2 linked regions of the Ovis aries genome follow. The protein of the gene in region 2 purifies or fractionates together with the protein of the main gene of each other region. This does not show direct contact. Links are inferred from orthologs where the notes say so. Each region holds a gene or a part of one and is shown on either strand. Other genes may lie near its edges.

The links. Proteins that work in one complex are often made in the same cells at the same time.
Region 1: the proteins of MED9 (region 2) and MED25 purify together in Homo sapiens (co-immunoprecipitation; 3 studies listed by BioGRID and IntAct, with this or other methods). This does not show direct contact. The link is inferred for Ovis aries from reciprocal best matches to the Homo sapiens genes MED9 and MED25.

Annotation. Positions count from the first base shown.
Region 1 is NC_056067.1:55,908,573-55,916,689, reverse strand, and holds the start of MED25 (mediator of RNA polymerase II transcription subunit 25), read right to left. Parts: upstream 4,996-8,117; 5' UTR 4,901-4,995; coding exon 4,767-4,900; intron 4,674-4,766; coding exon 4,628-4,673; intron 4,158-4,627; coding exon 4,033-4,157; intron 1-4,032. UniProt on the Homo sapiens protein: Component of the Mediator complex, a coactivator involved in the regulated transcription of nearly all RNA polymerase II-dependent genes.
Region 2 is NC_056064.1:34,572,623-34,580,549, forward strand, and holds the start of MED9 (mediator of RNA polymerase II transcription subunit 9), read right to left. Parts: upstream 4,251-7,927; 5' UTR 4,182-4,250; coding exon 3,961-4,181; intron 226-3,960; coding exon 9-225; 3' UTR 1-8.

The DNA.
Region 1 (8,117 bases), on a different chromosome or scaffold from region 2:
CTGCATACCTATCCCGACTCCCAGCCCCGTGTCATCCTCCTGCAGGAAGCCTTCCCCACCCACCACATGAATTTAAGGCTCACCCTTGATCACATCACATGTTCCCCAATACCGTGACTGTCACCCTTCCTCCTACAGCCCCAAGAAAGCGCAGCCCTCAGTGAGACTTCAGCCGGCTCTATGATGTGCCCGAGGACACACAGGCTCTGGGAAGTGCCTTCTGAAAAAGTGCACCCCCAACACGTGGCCCCTCCGTGCTCTACCTGGATTCTTCCCCAGTGTAGATTTCGGTCCTCTGCCCCCACACTCAGGGTGCTCAGCCCACACTGTTCCCCCTCCCCACCATCCACTCCCCTGACCTCCTTCTCCTCCCCACCATCGAGACTCTGGTTTGCACAGGAATTTTAATGCCACAGAGCTGGGGCAGAGGCTGATGAATCAACCAAACCTGGATCCACCCTAGTGCCAACTGCCGGTGCTGGAAGAAATCAAGCCATCTTCCCGGCCGGGCTAAGGGTAGGGGTGAGGGGTAGGGGGAGAGACAGGAAGCAGCTGCTGCAGGCATGCAGGGTCTTCTCTTAAGAGGGATGAAAATGTTCCAGAACTACACAGAAAAGACGGCTGCACAACATTTTAAATGTACTAAATGCCACTGACTTGTCCACTTGAAAATAACTGCTTGTGTTATTGAGGGAATTTCACCTCAATTTCTAAAAAAAAAATAATTTGAAGGAAAGTAAGATTGACTGACCACTCTGAGAGCCTAGAGTTTTTATTCTTAATGAATATCAAACGTAAGCCATCTGTTACCAACTCAGAGAAAGACACAAAACAAATATTTTGTCTAGACAAAAACTTAAAACTGGGGGGCACGAAAAAATATATATGGCCAGTTGGGAAGTAGGTTTTTAAATATCAAAAAATTTCAAATAAATCTCTCAGATTAGAAATAGAAAGTGAAACTGAAAAGTGAAAGTGTCCTGGGAGATACAGATGGGCTCTGACTCACCGCTTCCTTATCCTCACACCCTGCCTCGATTGTTCCTCCTGAGGTCATGCCCCTGAGTCCTTGCCACTCACTTTCACAGGCTAAGGGGCCCCACCCCTGGAGCCCCCCAGAGGGACTAGTCAAAATGAATGAATGGGAACCGCAGCAGCCTATCACCCCAAGGAAACACCAGTTGCAGAGGGCCAGAACACTGCCTGCCTTCTGCCCCCTCAGTGCCTGAGACAATCTGCCCCACAGGTTGTCTGCTGAATGAATGAATGCACAAACCAGTGAATGAACGAAGGCACAGTGCTGTGGGGAAGACACCTGGGCTGTCCCTTCTGATGCTGGGCCACCAGCTGTCAGGGGCCGGGGAACCGCCTTGCTTGTCAGACAGGAAATGTAACATCAGAAATGAATTTCCTCAAAGCAAGGACTTTCCCCAAAATCACACTGCCTGCTTTGTACTGTAAGTAACGGATGTTCCAGGAGAAGATAAGATTTCTCCATGTGAACAAAACTTGCTGACTTTCTTTGTGATCTCTGTTACAGACTTCCCCAGAACGTCACAGAAACTGAATTTAGATGGTAACATAGGACCTGATAAAACAGTGATGACTCTGAATATTCAATAATGGCTTAAAATGTTTATCGGCTGATTGGGAGGATTCCGGTGAACAGGCAGCACACAAAGCTTTCTTTTTTGGTTAAACAGGCAGTGCATTCTAAGCTGGTTAAGGGAGAGGGTGGATATAGGATGGAAGTGTTCAGAAAATATTTCCCTCTTCTCTTCCTAGTGCCCTTGACATTTTAAACAAGGGGGTTTCACTATTTCTCCTGACACCCACCAGAAGGTTCACTTTCCTGGTGATTCTCTTCCTTACAGCTTTCACTTGTTTATTTAATCGGCAAAGGACTCGCGTCTCAGGCCCCTGCTGGAGGCAAACAGCAGGAGAAATACCCAAGGCCTGGACATTCACAGTCCAGAGGTGTGGAGCTCTGTAACAGGGAAACAGCTGAGAGCAATGGGGGCAGAGGAGAGAGCAACTGACTGCTTGCTGGAATCAGGGAAAGGACGTTTGCGTGGGCCCTGGATGTTATGTAGGCGTTTACCAGGGAGAACCAGAGCATGAAGGGCGTTCTGGACATTCGTTCATTCGCTTGTTCCACAAAGTTTTCCTTGGGGCTCTTTCATGCCAGGCCCTGTGCTGGGTGCTAGAAACTTGAGGGACATCAGACTTGGACTTGAACCTCAAGGAGCCCCCATTCCACATTATTCAAGTCTCACCACAATCTGTTCCAGAGGTTCTCGACTGGGGCGGATTCTGTCCCCAAAGGGACATCTGACAATGTCTGGAGACATCTTTGTTTTTATTGTTTATCACACTGGGGAGGGAGGAGACCACTGGCATTGGGGGGGAAGGAGCCAAGGATGCTACTGAACTCCTTACAACACACAGGAATGCCCCCCACCCCTCCACAACACACATACAATAATCATCTGGCCCAAAGGGTCAACAGTGCTGAGGTTGAGAAACCCTGCTCTGCCCTGACCATGAATTCTAACAACCATAAGGGGGGAAAGTGAATGTGCAGTGCCTGGTCTAGCACGTGAAGCCTGAAACAAACCAAGTGTTCAACAAACATTTGCTGCAGATAACAGCAGCCCACGAATCCGGTTGTTTAATGGACTCTGACCAGACCCTGAGCTGAACACAGTATGAAGATTAGCTTCTGTGACCCTTCTCTGAGTGCTGATATGGACTACCGTTATCCCTCTGCAGACCAAGAAACCAAAACACAAAAGAACAGCAAAAGCTGAGGGAGCGCTTAATCGTGTCAGGCACTGTTCTCAACAGTCATCAACTCGTTTGATTCCCAAAGTCCCCTATAGTGTCACCGGAACTAGATCTCCACTGAGCACCATCTCCTGGTATTCATGCCCCCTCCAACACTGAACAGAACTGACTTGTATACTAAACAGAATGTGACACAAATGATGGTGTGACTTCTAAGATTTGATTATAAAAATCTTTGTAGTCTCCTTCTGCTCTTTCTGTTGGATTGCTCAGGCTGAGGAAGGCCAACTGCCATGTTGGGAGGACACTCAAGCAGCCCCATGGAGAGATATCTTAGGAATAACAGCTAGCAAGGAACAGCTAGCAAGTTGGCCTCTGGCCAACAGCCACAGGGTTAGCCACCTTGGAAATGGATCCTCTGGTCCCGATCCAACAGTTGGATGACTGCGGTCCCAGCTCATCTGACTGAAATCCCACAAGAGACCGTGAGTGAGAACCATCCATCAAAGCCACCCCTGAATTCCTTACTTAAGGAAACAAGCCACTAAATTAATTTTTTTTTTTTTTTTTGGCTGTGCCCCTCAGCATGTGGGATCTTAGTTTCCCCACCAAGGATCAGACCCATGTCCCTTGCAGTGGAAGCACAGAGTCCCAACTGCTGGACCATCAGAGAATTTCCAAGTCACTAAGCTTTAATCTGTTTTCCCAACACTGGATAAGTAACAGGATGACTATAAGTACTATTACCGTTCCCCTTTTAGAGATGAGTTCTATTAGACACAGAGGACAGGGACTCGTGGGTCTGGCAGTCCTGTTGTGGTAGAGCTGAAAAGTGGCCCCAGGCTGTCTGCACCTGCAGTGTGAACTATCAACATTGACTCCAAAGCACAGAGGCTTAGCCCCACCCCTCTTGCGCTCAAGCTTCAGTGCCCCTAGTAGGAAAAAGAAGGGCTAGAGTAGACAAGAGAAGCAACAGACAGAAAGGAGAATAATATATGAGGAGTAGGACGGGTGCTGGACTTCCCCAGGCCTCCTTGACCAGGAAATTCTTTCTACTTCCAAGCCAGACAGCAACACCAGCTGAGCATACAGAACCGACCACTGAAGTGACCTAGGGACAAAACCACAACCCCCATCGCAGCCCTTTTTAGCAACCAATGTGAGGGGCTGGATCCGGCAGCACCATTCCTCTGCCGTCCCTCCCAGGTTCCCCCAACCCTTCCGGAAGCCGAGAAAAGAGCTCACTTAATGCCATCGAGCCAGGTGACAAACTCATAGGCGCTGCTGGTGGGAGCGTGACATTGTACGTAGGACTCTGGAGCGCAGTCCACCGTGTTGAACACCACGAGGCTGTACTGGGTGCCCCCATACTGGGAGGGGAGGACAGGAGAACTTTTCATCTGGGACCCAGCTCCTTTTTCCCTCAGGGGAATCGGAGCTCCCAGCCCCTCCTCCCTCGGACCCGGGGGTCCGGACCCCGGTACTCCCACCTCAGACCCAGGACCCGAGCCCTTCCCGCCTCGGACCCAAGACCTGAGCCTCCTCCCCTCTCGGACCCATTAGTCCGGACCCCAGTCCCTCCTCCCTCAGCCCCAGAACCCGAGCCCCATTCTCCTGGAAACCAGAGTCCAGACCCCAGCTCCTCCCCGCTCGGACCCGCAAATCCCGACCCCAGCCCCTCGGACCCAGGTGTCCAAACCCCAGCCCCTCCCGCCTCCGACCCCGGAGTCCGGACCCGAGCCCTCCCACCTCGGGCCCAGGGTTCAGGTACCGCCCCCTCCTCCCGCAGACCCAGTCCGGACTCCCATCTTCCCTCAAACTCGAGAGTTCCAAGACTCACGTCTCCGCCGAAGTCCGTCTCGGCAGGAGGGCCGCCATTAAAATACCTGTGAGGGTCGGAAGTGAAAGGTCGGGGTGAGGAGAGAGTGTGGAAAACTAAACTCGGAGGGCGGGGTTGGGGCCGCGGAAACGGCACTCACTCTATGGCCGGGAGCAGGTAGTGCTTGCGGAGCCCCTCGAAGTAGGGCCCCAGATTGGCCGTGCCCTCAATTACAAACACCACGTCAGCCACGAGGCCCCCGGCGCGGGCCGGGCCCTCCGACCCGGGGACCATGCCCCGCGCCGCAGATGCCGCCGTCGCCGCCACCGCCGCCACCGCCGCTGCCGCCGCCGCCTCAGACACCGCGGGCTGAGCGGAAGTGCGCCTGCGCCGCGCGCGCCCCCGCGCGGGACGGCCTCTCGGCGCTGGCGGCGCGCTGGCGGCCATGTTTGTGCGGGGCGCCCGGGGCGGGTGGGTTTATCTCCATCCTCCTTCGCTCCCAGTGTGTGCAAGACTCAAAAAGGACCTAGAGAACTCCTTCGGGGACCAGAGGTGGAAGCTTGAATTATTTGCAGAACTTTCGAGGGCGAAATATACTGAAAGCGGCGCGTCAGACGCCATTTTTGAGGGGGGGGCGACCTTTCCGACACCGGTTTCAATGGAAGGGCCGGGAGACCTGGTTGCTATGCAACGCATACGCTGCCCTTGTTTTCCTAAAAAGACAGATTAGGTTTCTAGTTAAGTTCTTACTGGTTCTTGGGGGATGGGGGTGGGTGGGTCGTGTGAAGGGTCCAATCACAACGTCTAAAACGGGGTTACTAGGCAACGCTTTAAGGTGGCAATCAACTCTGAAAGGAGTGCAGCTGTTTTTTCCCCACTAAAAGAAGCCGAACTCTAACCCGAGTGGAGGTTGCTAAGCAACACCTGATAGTTGTTTTCTGGGAGAAGAGCCAGAAACTGGCCTAGAACATGAATACATTCCAGGTGGATTAAAAATGTAAATATAACAAATGAAACCATAACACTGTATAATCCTGAAGACTGGGGAAGAGTTTCTTATCATTACAGCAAAGCCAGAGCACGGAAAATATTGAGCTGTTTGTCCGCAGAAGACTTCATAAACCAAGCTGAAAACGATACGGTAAACTGCGGAAGTCACTGTAACATGTGTTGACAGAAATTTACTACCCAAATACGTATTACTGATCAATACAAACTTAGGAAAACAGAAATACTTTTTTTTTTTAATTGGGGAGGAAACTAAGCAGGTTTTTCCTGTACGCAAAAACATACTGAAAGTCGCTCATATGCACAAGTTAGTAAGTGCTAACACAGGGTCCAATGATAAGTCAGTTTATCTTTGTCATGTTAATTAATGCTGGAAAAATAAGTCCATGACGGTGGGAAGGTTTGGGTGAAATGAGCAGGCTCAGACGTGATCTAGTGGAGATGAAAACCAAAACAGCTTGCTCCAATGCAGTTTGTCAATATATTTCAAGGTAAAAGGGTGCATTGCTTTGCACTCAGCAGTATCACTGTTTTGTCTCATGTACTTTATTGATCCTTTTATTTTCTTTGCTGAACGCTTGTAAAGCAAATCCCAACATCGTATCATTTTACCTCTACCTGCTGGATAGGCATCTCCCCAAAGTTGCAGGTAACCACTATGCCATTAACATCTCTAACAAAATTCTTACTTCTTGGTATTGTCGAACACTTAAATCCATAATCAAATTTTCCCAGTTCTCACAAAATGTCTTTTTACAATTGTTTTATTTGCATCAAGATCCAACAATGACTGAACCTGTGTTTAGACATCTTAAAATTCCTTTAAATCTAAAGCAGATCCCTTCTTTTGTATGCTAGTGTAATTAAATTTTAATAAAATCATAAGGAAGATAAAAGTAAACTGGAGAAAGGCAAAATGATCAACAGGTATGGAGCTTGAAATGGTACCTAAAATGCCCTCCTAGCCATAAGGAAACTTTCCTTTAGATAAGCTGAATGCATAATTGGTTCTGTTAACTGATTTTAAACTGTTACCATGGTTACCATCAATGGATTACAAGTGGTAAAACAAACAATGAGATATTTTAGCTTGGACTTCAGCTTCTGGCATTGATAATTAGATGATATGACACTGTTTTTGCGACATTGGTGGTTTCATAAGAGGTATGGGTAGTCTTCAAGGATCTTACCTCCCCCGGAGAGGAAACAGAAATTGACAACAAGAAAAAAAGATGGGGTTGGAAAAGAAATTCCAGAGGTACTCATTGGCATTACCAAGAACCTGAAGGCAGCTGTGATGTGAAAAACTTGGTGTGGTTCCTCAGCTAAGCAATGGCCTTCCACAGCAGCTGACCTAATTCTGGGCTAGTCTTCAAGCCTCTCACACAGAGTGAAGTAAATCAGAAAGAGAAAAACAAGTATGTTAATACAAATATATGGAACCTAGAAAAATGGTACTGATGAATCTAGCAGAGGGACTTGTGGACACAGCAGGGGAAAGTGAGGGTGGGTCGAGCTGAGAAAGTAGCACTGAGGTATATACACAGTCACATGTAAACTAGTGGGAAGTTGCCAAATAACAAGTGGAGCCAGGCCTGACACTGTGATGACCTAGAGGGTGAATTCTCCCTAAAGGACTCCGACCAATAGCACAAAGACCACAGCTGCAGAGACAAGGATTGAATTTAGAATTCACACAAACAAAAATTAACCCGATGTAGCCCCATTCCCACCCCCAGGATTCAGGTACAGGAATTGTCAGGTTCATAATATACCACAATATGCAAAATAATAGAAATAAAGGACACTATTTAAGTTACCCTGGGCTGTGTAACAAATTACCCCAAAACTTAGTGGAACGAAACAGCAACATTGTTACTTTGAAGTTCCGGTAGATGGAATTGAGCTGTGGCTTAGCTGGGTCCCATGCTTCAGAGTTTCTTACAGGCTATAATCAAAGGGTCAGCAAGGGCTGTAATCATCTCAAGGCTCGACTGGACAGGACCTGCTCCCGTGCTCATTCTTGTCATTGTTGGCAGGGTTCAGTTCCTCCCAGGTTATTGACTAGAGGTTCCATGTGTTTCTGACCAGGGTCCTTGGACTTGATTTTAATCAACAGAAATTGATAAGAGGCCAAATGAGAAATTCAGGCAAGGCTTTACTGGGACTCTCCCACAGACTCTTAGCATGAGGGAGAGAAAAGAAGAACAAGAAACATGCACCCCTGCTTGCTCGTGAGGGGAAGCAGGCTGGTTCTTTTAAATAAGGTGAGGGTGGGGAGGGGTTGGGCTGGAAAGGTGGCTTAGGTTGTCTGCCCACCCCTTGGTGGTGCTGTGTGCAGGAATCGGGCACAGTACCCTGCTTTTGCTCCTGGAGCCTCAGAAGTGGCAACTGGTTTGTGGCCTTTTTGTATCTTATTGAACATTAATTAGGGCTCAGCATTTTTTAAAAAAAATCTGCTTTCAATGCAGGAACTGCAGGAGATGTAGGTTCGATCCCTGGT
Region 2 (7,927 bases):
TCGGCTCGTCACTCCTTGGGGATCTCAAACATGCACAGGCTCTTGTACTTCTGCAGCAGTTCGTTCTTGGTCCGGACCTGCTCTCGGAGGCGTTGCAGCTGCTGCTGCTGCTGCTCGGGGCTCAGGTGGATGCCAGGCATGGTGCTGACCACCTTGCGCATCTCCTGGAACTTGGTCTTCAGGGTGTTCAGGTCCTGGTGGACGTCAGGACTGTCCTTGTCCATGCTGCGGGGGCAGAGGGCAGGCGTTAGCACCAGCAACCTGGGAGCTCCCTCCTCACTGGCCCCAACCCCGCATTAGAATGCCTGTCGCTTGCACACTGATCAGTGCACTGGGGGATGGGCAAGCACCCCTGCCCCCCTCCCCACAGCAGGTGCACATGGGAAGCTGGGTCTTCCTCCAGGGCTGCCTCCCCAGCCCAGCCTGCAGGCACCAAAGTTACATTTGCTGAAAGAGTGAACACAGGTAAGTTCCTACATATCTGCTGAATGAATGAAAAACCATCACCAACATCAGGCAACAAGTGGCAAGTAAAACCTAATGAAGTACCACATTCCTTCTAACGTGAGACACTATAGGCCATTCAGGAGACGATCAATGAGCAAGAGCTACTTTTAGCTGATGTTCTGATGCCTGAACCTGTTAACATGCAGTCTGATTTCCACAGAGCTATTCATAAATTTTACATTAGTCACAGTTACTGGAAAACTTTCAGCAGATACTCGCTCTCTCCCACCTTTCCCACCAACTCAGGTAAACTGAGCCTTCTGGTCCCACTCACTTTAAAGGTGGGATATCTTCACTCGTAGCTATTGTCGGCTGCCCGGAGACCCATGTTCCCTGTCTCGGCAAAGTTAAAAGGAAGCAAGAACAAAACCCTTCACCTGAGAACACAGAAACAGCCCATCAGTTGCTCCTGTATATTTTTTAAAAGTTAGGAAATGGGTAGATGAGCCTTTGAAAACAGGCGGTTGAGACTAAAATCTAAAAGCCGATGCACAGGCTGTTTTAAAAGTCACCCACTGAGGCACAAGAGGGGAAAGCTGTCAAGGATCATTTATTTCTCTCAATAAACGTTCATCCCTATTGGGCAATTTCAACCCAGATGGTGCTAATTCATGTTTATTATTAATCATTTCTCTGCTTACGCAGACAGAATAGCCATCTTTCCTGGTGATCCGCTAGTTAGAGCTCATTCCTGAAAGATGAGATACACTGGGGCCTGCTCACTATTTATCAATAACTCGAACTTGGAAGCAAGATCTGGAGAATCAATAGTTTATTCTGGGGAACAAATAAAGACATTTCCTGTTGTCTTCTGAGGTCCTCGATTCACACACACCAACTCTGGTGCACCTCACCCCAGCTTCAAGGAAGCGTTTTATATTCTGTTTCTTTCATGTCTCAGCTCTGATCTACAACTCTTGACAGACACCATCTGGACTTCTGAAATCATTCCATTTGGATGGCATATGTGCTAACACATTGTTATGAATTTAAGTCCCAAGGCAATTTTGAAATTAAATTATAGTTTTAAGAAAACTGATTCACAACACATAAGTCTGAAAGGACAAGGTACAAACAAACAAAAAAAAAAATTTTTTTTAAACAATAAGGTTCTACCATATAGCACAGAGAACTATACTTAATAGCTATGATAAACCATAATGGAAGAGAATATTTTTTTTAAAAGAATGTCCATATATGTGTAACTGAATCACTTTTCAATTTGTTTTGACAAAAATGTAACCACACTACACACATGGTTCTGATTCTTGGTTCTTTTTTCACCTGAAATGCACCTCGGACAGCTAGATGACATGGCTGTTACGAGTATGTGGATGTTTGTAACTGATCACCTGCGGTCTGAATGGGGATGACCATCCCACACCTGCACCTGTGTGTGCTGGGCACCCACAGTCCCCTCAGTCAGTGCTGCAGCTCTGCCTGCCACCACCTGCAGTTCATCCCTGTTCCTCCTCCTACTCCCCAGCTTCCTGTGGACCCCAGTCCTCTCCTCCTCCTAAAGCCCTCTGTCCCATCTACCTTCACAAAACCCAAGCACTAGCTCAAAAACTTCGGATGACTCCTCGACTCCCTGGTTCAGTGTCTCTGGGGTCAGACACCCAAGAGAGTCTATTTTCTTTGGCTGTCAGTTGAGAAGCTGGGGACAGGAAAGGGGAGGTATGGGTGAAGGGTGGGGCTGGGTCTCAATGTCCAGTCTGTGGACTTGCTCTCAAGCTCCTATTCTCAGTATGGCTCCCCTCCCCCAGCTCCCACAATGTGCCTAGTGTTCCCCAGTCCAGACACTCTGGCTGACTCTCTCCTAAAACAAATCTTGGGAAAGTACAAGCCTTTAAGCTGTCTGACCAAGGTCATTCAGCTGGTACCTTATAGAGCTATCATCTGTGGTTCATTTTTGGATGGCAACACCTATTCAATGGACATGAGATTGAGTAGACTCTGGGAGATAGTGAAGGATGGGGAAATCTGGTGTGCTGCAGTCCATGGGATTCCAAAGAGTCAGATACAACTGAGCGACTGAACAAAGAACAATTATTACTCATATATTAGAGATAAGAAAATCAAGGTCTAGAAAGGCTATGCACTTAACTAAAATTCCAACACAAGCAAGCATCAACATGCAGATCTGAACTCAAGAAGATCTGACTTCAAAGCCCATGTTCTTTCTCACAGACAATACAGTTCCATCTTTAAGGCCAGCCCAACCCAACTGCTCTATCAGGGTCAAAAATAGACTCGGAGAACACTGTGTGTTTTCATTTTTCCGTATTTTTTTCTAAAACCCGAATAAGCATATTTGGCTTGATCCTGGATAATGCCTGGGACTCCAGGGCTGCTTCTGTGTGTGTTTGCTTGGTCACTCTGCCTAGAAGTGCTACCTGATCACAGGCTCCTGGGAATAGAACAGTTTGCCTTGCCCGATAAACACTATGTTCACACCAAGTGAAGCCAGATGAAGTCAAGGTCTACTGTGACTACTGTGAGAACAAAGTCTTCACAGTCGTCTGAAAAGCAGTGGAAGTGTCAGGTCATCCCAGGGCAAGTGAATCTAATCCGCCTCAACTCTAAACCGGCTAGGCCATCACCAATACTTTTGTATTGTGAGTATCAATTCCATTTCAGCAAAACATCCAAGAGCATGTTGATGTTCACTTGAATGTTACTGTAAAAATAACAACTTTGTTACTGTAAAAGATTACAACTTTGTTGTAATCCACTTTGCTTTTATTTTTTAATGGCTGAATAAAAAGTTCAAGCCCAGGGGTTTAAACTTTGCTATCATGTAGACATAAATAACAGTTAACAATAATTTGGGCAAATGTGGGGATTGGGGAGATTTTGGCTGTGTGTGTGTGTGTGTTTTCCTTCTAAGGATAAGTTTGAAAACTCAGGTGATCTGAAGACTGGCCAAAAGCAGACAATCACCCCGTGTCGCCGGGACAGGGCACCCCAGTGCTGTCCGGAGGGCAGCGTCCTACTCCTGTAAAATTCCCAACATCACCCCTATAATCTCTTTGCATTATGGGTTATTCCGCTCATTAGTTTCCCCTTCTAACTGGTGAGCAAGGTGGGGATGAAAAGTCGGCCCCTCCACGTGTACACGCCACAGCACTTAGCAGTGTGCCACACATGGAAGATGACCCGTATCTGTCGGATCTGTGGGAAAACAGGCTCACCAGGCTGCACCCCAATGGTCTGCCCGCAGCGTCTGTGCACTTGCTGTCTACATCGGCTTCGTTTTAAGAACGCTGCTTGCCAGCACGGGGCCTGGTAACTCCCAGGAGGGAATGCTGAACTCTTGGGACTGCTCGCGGTGGCCTCGGCGTGGCCGCTCCCCTCCGGGTGTGTCTCCCCCTTGGTACCGCGGGGCGCCCCTGGATTTTGGACATGTGATGGGCAGCGGGGGCGTGCGGGCTGATTCCCCCGGGCCCTTACCATTTGATGATGCTGTGAACCAAGGGAAGGAAGGAGCAGTTCTCCTCCGCCTTCACGCCGGCAGGGGATGGAGGCTTCGGCGCGGGCTGCGGCTGCTGCGCAGAGACAGACGGCGGCGGCTGCGGCTGCGGCAGCGGCTTCATCTCCGGCAGCGGAGGCTCTGCGGGCGGCGGCAGCGTGTCCTCACCCTGCCGGCCGGCAGCAACCCCCACAGAAGCCATCGTGTCCCGGACCCCAGCAGCCGATCAGGGGGACAGTCGGCTTCGCGCGCCGGAAGTGTTGCTGATTATGACGTCACCATCGTGCGCCGCGGAGGCGGGGCCGGGCCTGGCGGTCGTTACTAGGCAACAGGCGGCTGGTCCTTGGTAGCCTGGATTTGGTGGTGCGCAGAGACAGCTAAATTTTTCAAAAGTCAGAAATAGAAGGTATACTTCAGGAATAACATCTCATTCCTATTCACGTTACAAAGAGAATCCAAAAGCAACCTGTAGAGGAAGATAAATGGGGCCTCAGGAAGAGTGGACAGCACCTCCGCACCTGCGGGTGTCAGGCCCTGGGCCCGTGGAGGATCCGAGGGGAAGGACCCACGGCTCCCACCCGCGCAGAAGCCTCCAGGGACGAGGTCTTGCGCCTACCCTATGGACCCTGAAATAAACCGAACAGTTAATATGCATCTTCTGGGTGACACACGCTGTGCTAACTGTGGGGGAAGGGTGAGGTCTGTCTCAACTTACTCCGAGCAGAGATGGCCGAAGGGGATTAGTACCAGGAATAAATACTGTATCCGAGGGAGAAGTCAGTGTCAGCTACTCTCCGTACCTGTGGGCCAGCTCCTGAAGCCCCCGGTCTCAGTGTGCTCACCTCTAAAATCTTTAGTTCAGGGTCATGGCAGAGCCCAAACCACTTTCCAACTTCAGACACATGGCTGACCTTTGAAGGTGTCCTTTGCATGAGCCCTGGGCTCTTAGGCGGAGAAGGCAATGGCACCCCACTCCAGTACTCTTGCCTAGAAAATCCCATGGATGGAGGAGCCTGGTAGGCTGCAGTCCATGGGATTGCTAAGAGTCGGACACGACGGAGCGACTTCAGTTTCACTTTCATGCATTGGAGAAGGAAATGGCAACCCACTCCTGTGTTCTTGCCTGGAGAATCCCACGGGCGGCGGAGCTTGGTGGGTGGCTGTCTATGGGGCTGCACAGAGTCAGACACGACTGAAGCGACTTAGCAGCAGTGGGCTCTTAGGTCAAAGTAGGGGACTCCTGGTGGGTTTGTGGGTATGTTCCTCAAAACAAGCCCTCCCAAGCCACAATGAGGGGGCTGTGTGATGGGGAGTGGCATCCTAGTTGGGAAGTACCCCTCTACTGAAGAGCAAGGTGGCCGGTGCCAAGGAAGCATCAGTGCTGGTATTTCAGAGGCATCTAGGAGGAGTCTGTAGAGGCAAGTCCCAGGGGAGGAGACTGTGGAAGGAAGTGGGGAGGGTGGACGGTGTGTCAGAGGGCACTTTGGTAACAGCCTTAGCACAGCTTTCTTATAAAAACTGCACCCCACAGGTGAGCACAGGGAGGTGGGGGGCTGCTGACTGTGGGCCTCTCCCCCTGAGGGAAAGTTCAGGGTTCTGGTGGAGAAGGAGGAAGAAGGACCCCCTGGGACAGGACCAGACGGGCTTGAAGAGGCTGTACACCCTTGGAATTGCCTGGGGACATAAGGGCGGTGTAATGATAATAATAGTAATTACCACAACTACTGTGGATTGAAAGTATGTACAAGGGACAGAGCACAATCATCTCATATAATCCACAAAAAACTCTGGAAAGTAGATGTTAGTGTCTCTGTTTAATAGATGGTTAAGAATCTGATCCAGGCCACACAGCTATCAGACAGCAAGACTCTGGTCTTAACCAACACAGAGGAGACCTCAGGTCCCTACCAGCCCTGTGACTTTGTGGTTCAAAATGTTAATGTGAGGTTTTTATTCAGAGTTGGGAAAGAATTCCACATTCATCAATAATCTCCCAGTAGAAATCACACGTCATCTTTCCCTCCTGGCGTTTCTATAACTTCATTACCAGCCCCAACTTTATCATTGGTAGAATGATGAGGGTATCTCTTTAAAAAAAAAAAAACACTTCAGGTATAAATAGATATGGGTAAAGAAAATGAATTGAAAACGTAGGAAGCAGGAATGGAGTAGGTGCCTTGACAGTTTGCCCTAAAAATAGTTAATTAGTGGTGAAGAGTGGAGCTGACCTCATAACATTTCAGGCAGATGTCAGGGAAACACTGCCTGTGCTGGCTTCATTAAAGCTGAAATTAACAGAAGTGTTTGTCTGCTTAGAACTTCTCTGTTGAAAGTAAAAAAAAAAAAAGAAGAAGAAGAAGAAGAAAAGCAGAAACCCCACAGAAACAACCATGTGGCATTGACGCCCAGAGTAAAGCTCGCTGAGTCCTTGGGCAGCTCTCCCTGCTTCTAAGGCCCCTGTGGGCTGCTGGTGGCCAGACCAGACCCTGCTCAGCCCATCTGAGGCTCATAGCTTCAGACTCTGCATAACCTCCCAGGAAGACTGAATGGGTTATTCCACATATATCACTTAGAAAAGTCCCCGGGAGCAGTAAAAATCACTTCTGACTATTGAGACTTTCTCCCAGACTTAGGGCATTTAAGAGGAGTGAGCTGAATGAGCGCCCTCGACAGAGACAGAAGGCAAAATACTTCTGTCGTTTTTAGTATTCTGGTAGCCACACACAAAGAATCAAAAGAAACAGGTGAAATTGATTTTGGTACTGTATTTTACTTAACTCGTGTATCCAAAATATTATCATTTCCACATGTGATCAGGAAAAATTATCAAAGAGGTATTTGAAATCTGGGCTTCCTCTACGGCTCAGAGGGTAAAGAAGGAGACATAGATTTTATCCCTGGGTTGGAAAGATCCCCTGGAGAAGGAAATAGCCACCCACTCCAGTATTCTTGCCTGAAAAATTCCATGGACAGAGGAGCCTGGTGGGCTGCAGTTCACAGAGTCACAAAGAGTTGGACATAACTGAGAGACTAAGCGCTCTTTGAAATCTACTCTGTACTTTACATACATAGCACATCTCAGCTGGAATAGCCACGTTTCAAATGCCCAGGAGCCAGGTGTGGCCAGGGTCCACGAACCTGGGTGACACATGTCTATCTGGACAGATCTCAATCCTAACCATGAGAGGAAAAAACTAGCAAGTTATACAAAGCAAATAGAGTACATTGCTACTTATACATATGTTTGCAACGTGAAAAATAACAATGAATATGATCCATAGATACAAAACATACATGTCAAAATGTTTGTAAAGAACTGAAGGGTGCGCCTCATGGTCACAGGGCCGGTGAAGTTGTATAACAGGCCCTGCACCTTTCTGTGTGGTGTCAAATTTCTTTTATAGATTATAAGGAAACTGTGAACAAGTGCCAAGTGTGGGAGTGGGTACTGAGGAACCCAGGCTCTGCTCTTTCCGGCTGTGTAACCTTGGACAAGTCTTCCTGTGCCTCAGATTCCTCATCTGAAAAATGGGATCATAATGGCTCCTAATGGGAGGTTACCCAGGAGGTTACTCCTGAATGGGTTACAGGAGTTACCTTGTGGGGAGGACCCCAAATGGTCCCTGACACATAGGAACCACCACTGAAGCTTTAGCTACTACTGCTACTGTTCTCAGAGAAGGCAATGGCACCCCGCTCCAGTACTCTTGCCTGGAAAATCCCACTGATGGAGGAGCCTGGTGGGCTACAGTCCATGGGGTCGCACAGAGTTGGACACGACTGAAGCAACTTCACTTTCACTTTTCACTTTCCTGCATTGGAGACGGAAATGGCAATCCACTCCAGTGTTCTTGCCTGGAGAATCCCAGGGACGGGAGAGCCTGGTGGGCTGCCATCTATGGGGTTGCACAGAGTCGGGCATGACTGAATCGATTTAGCAGCAACAGC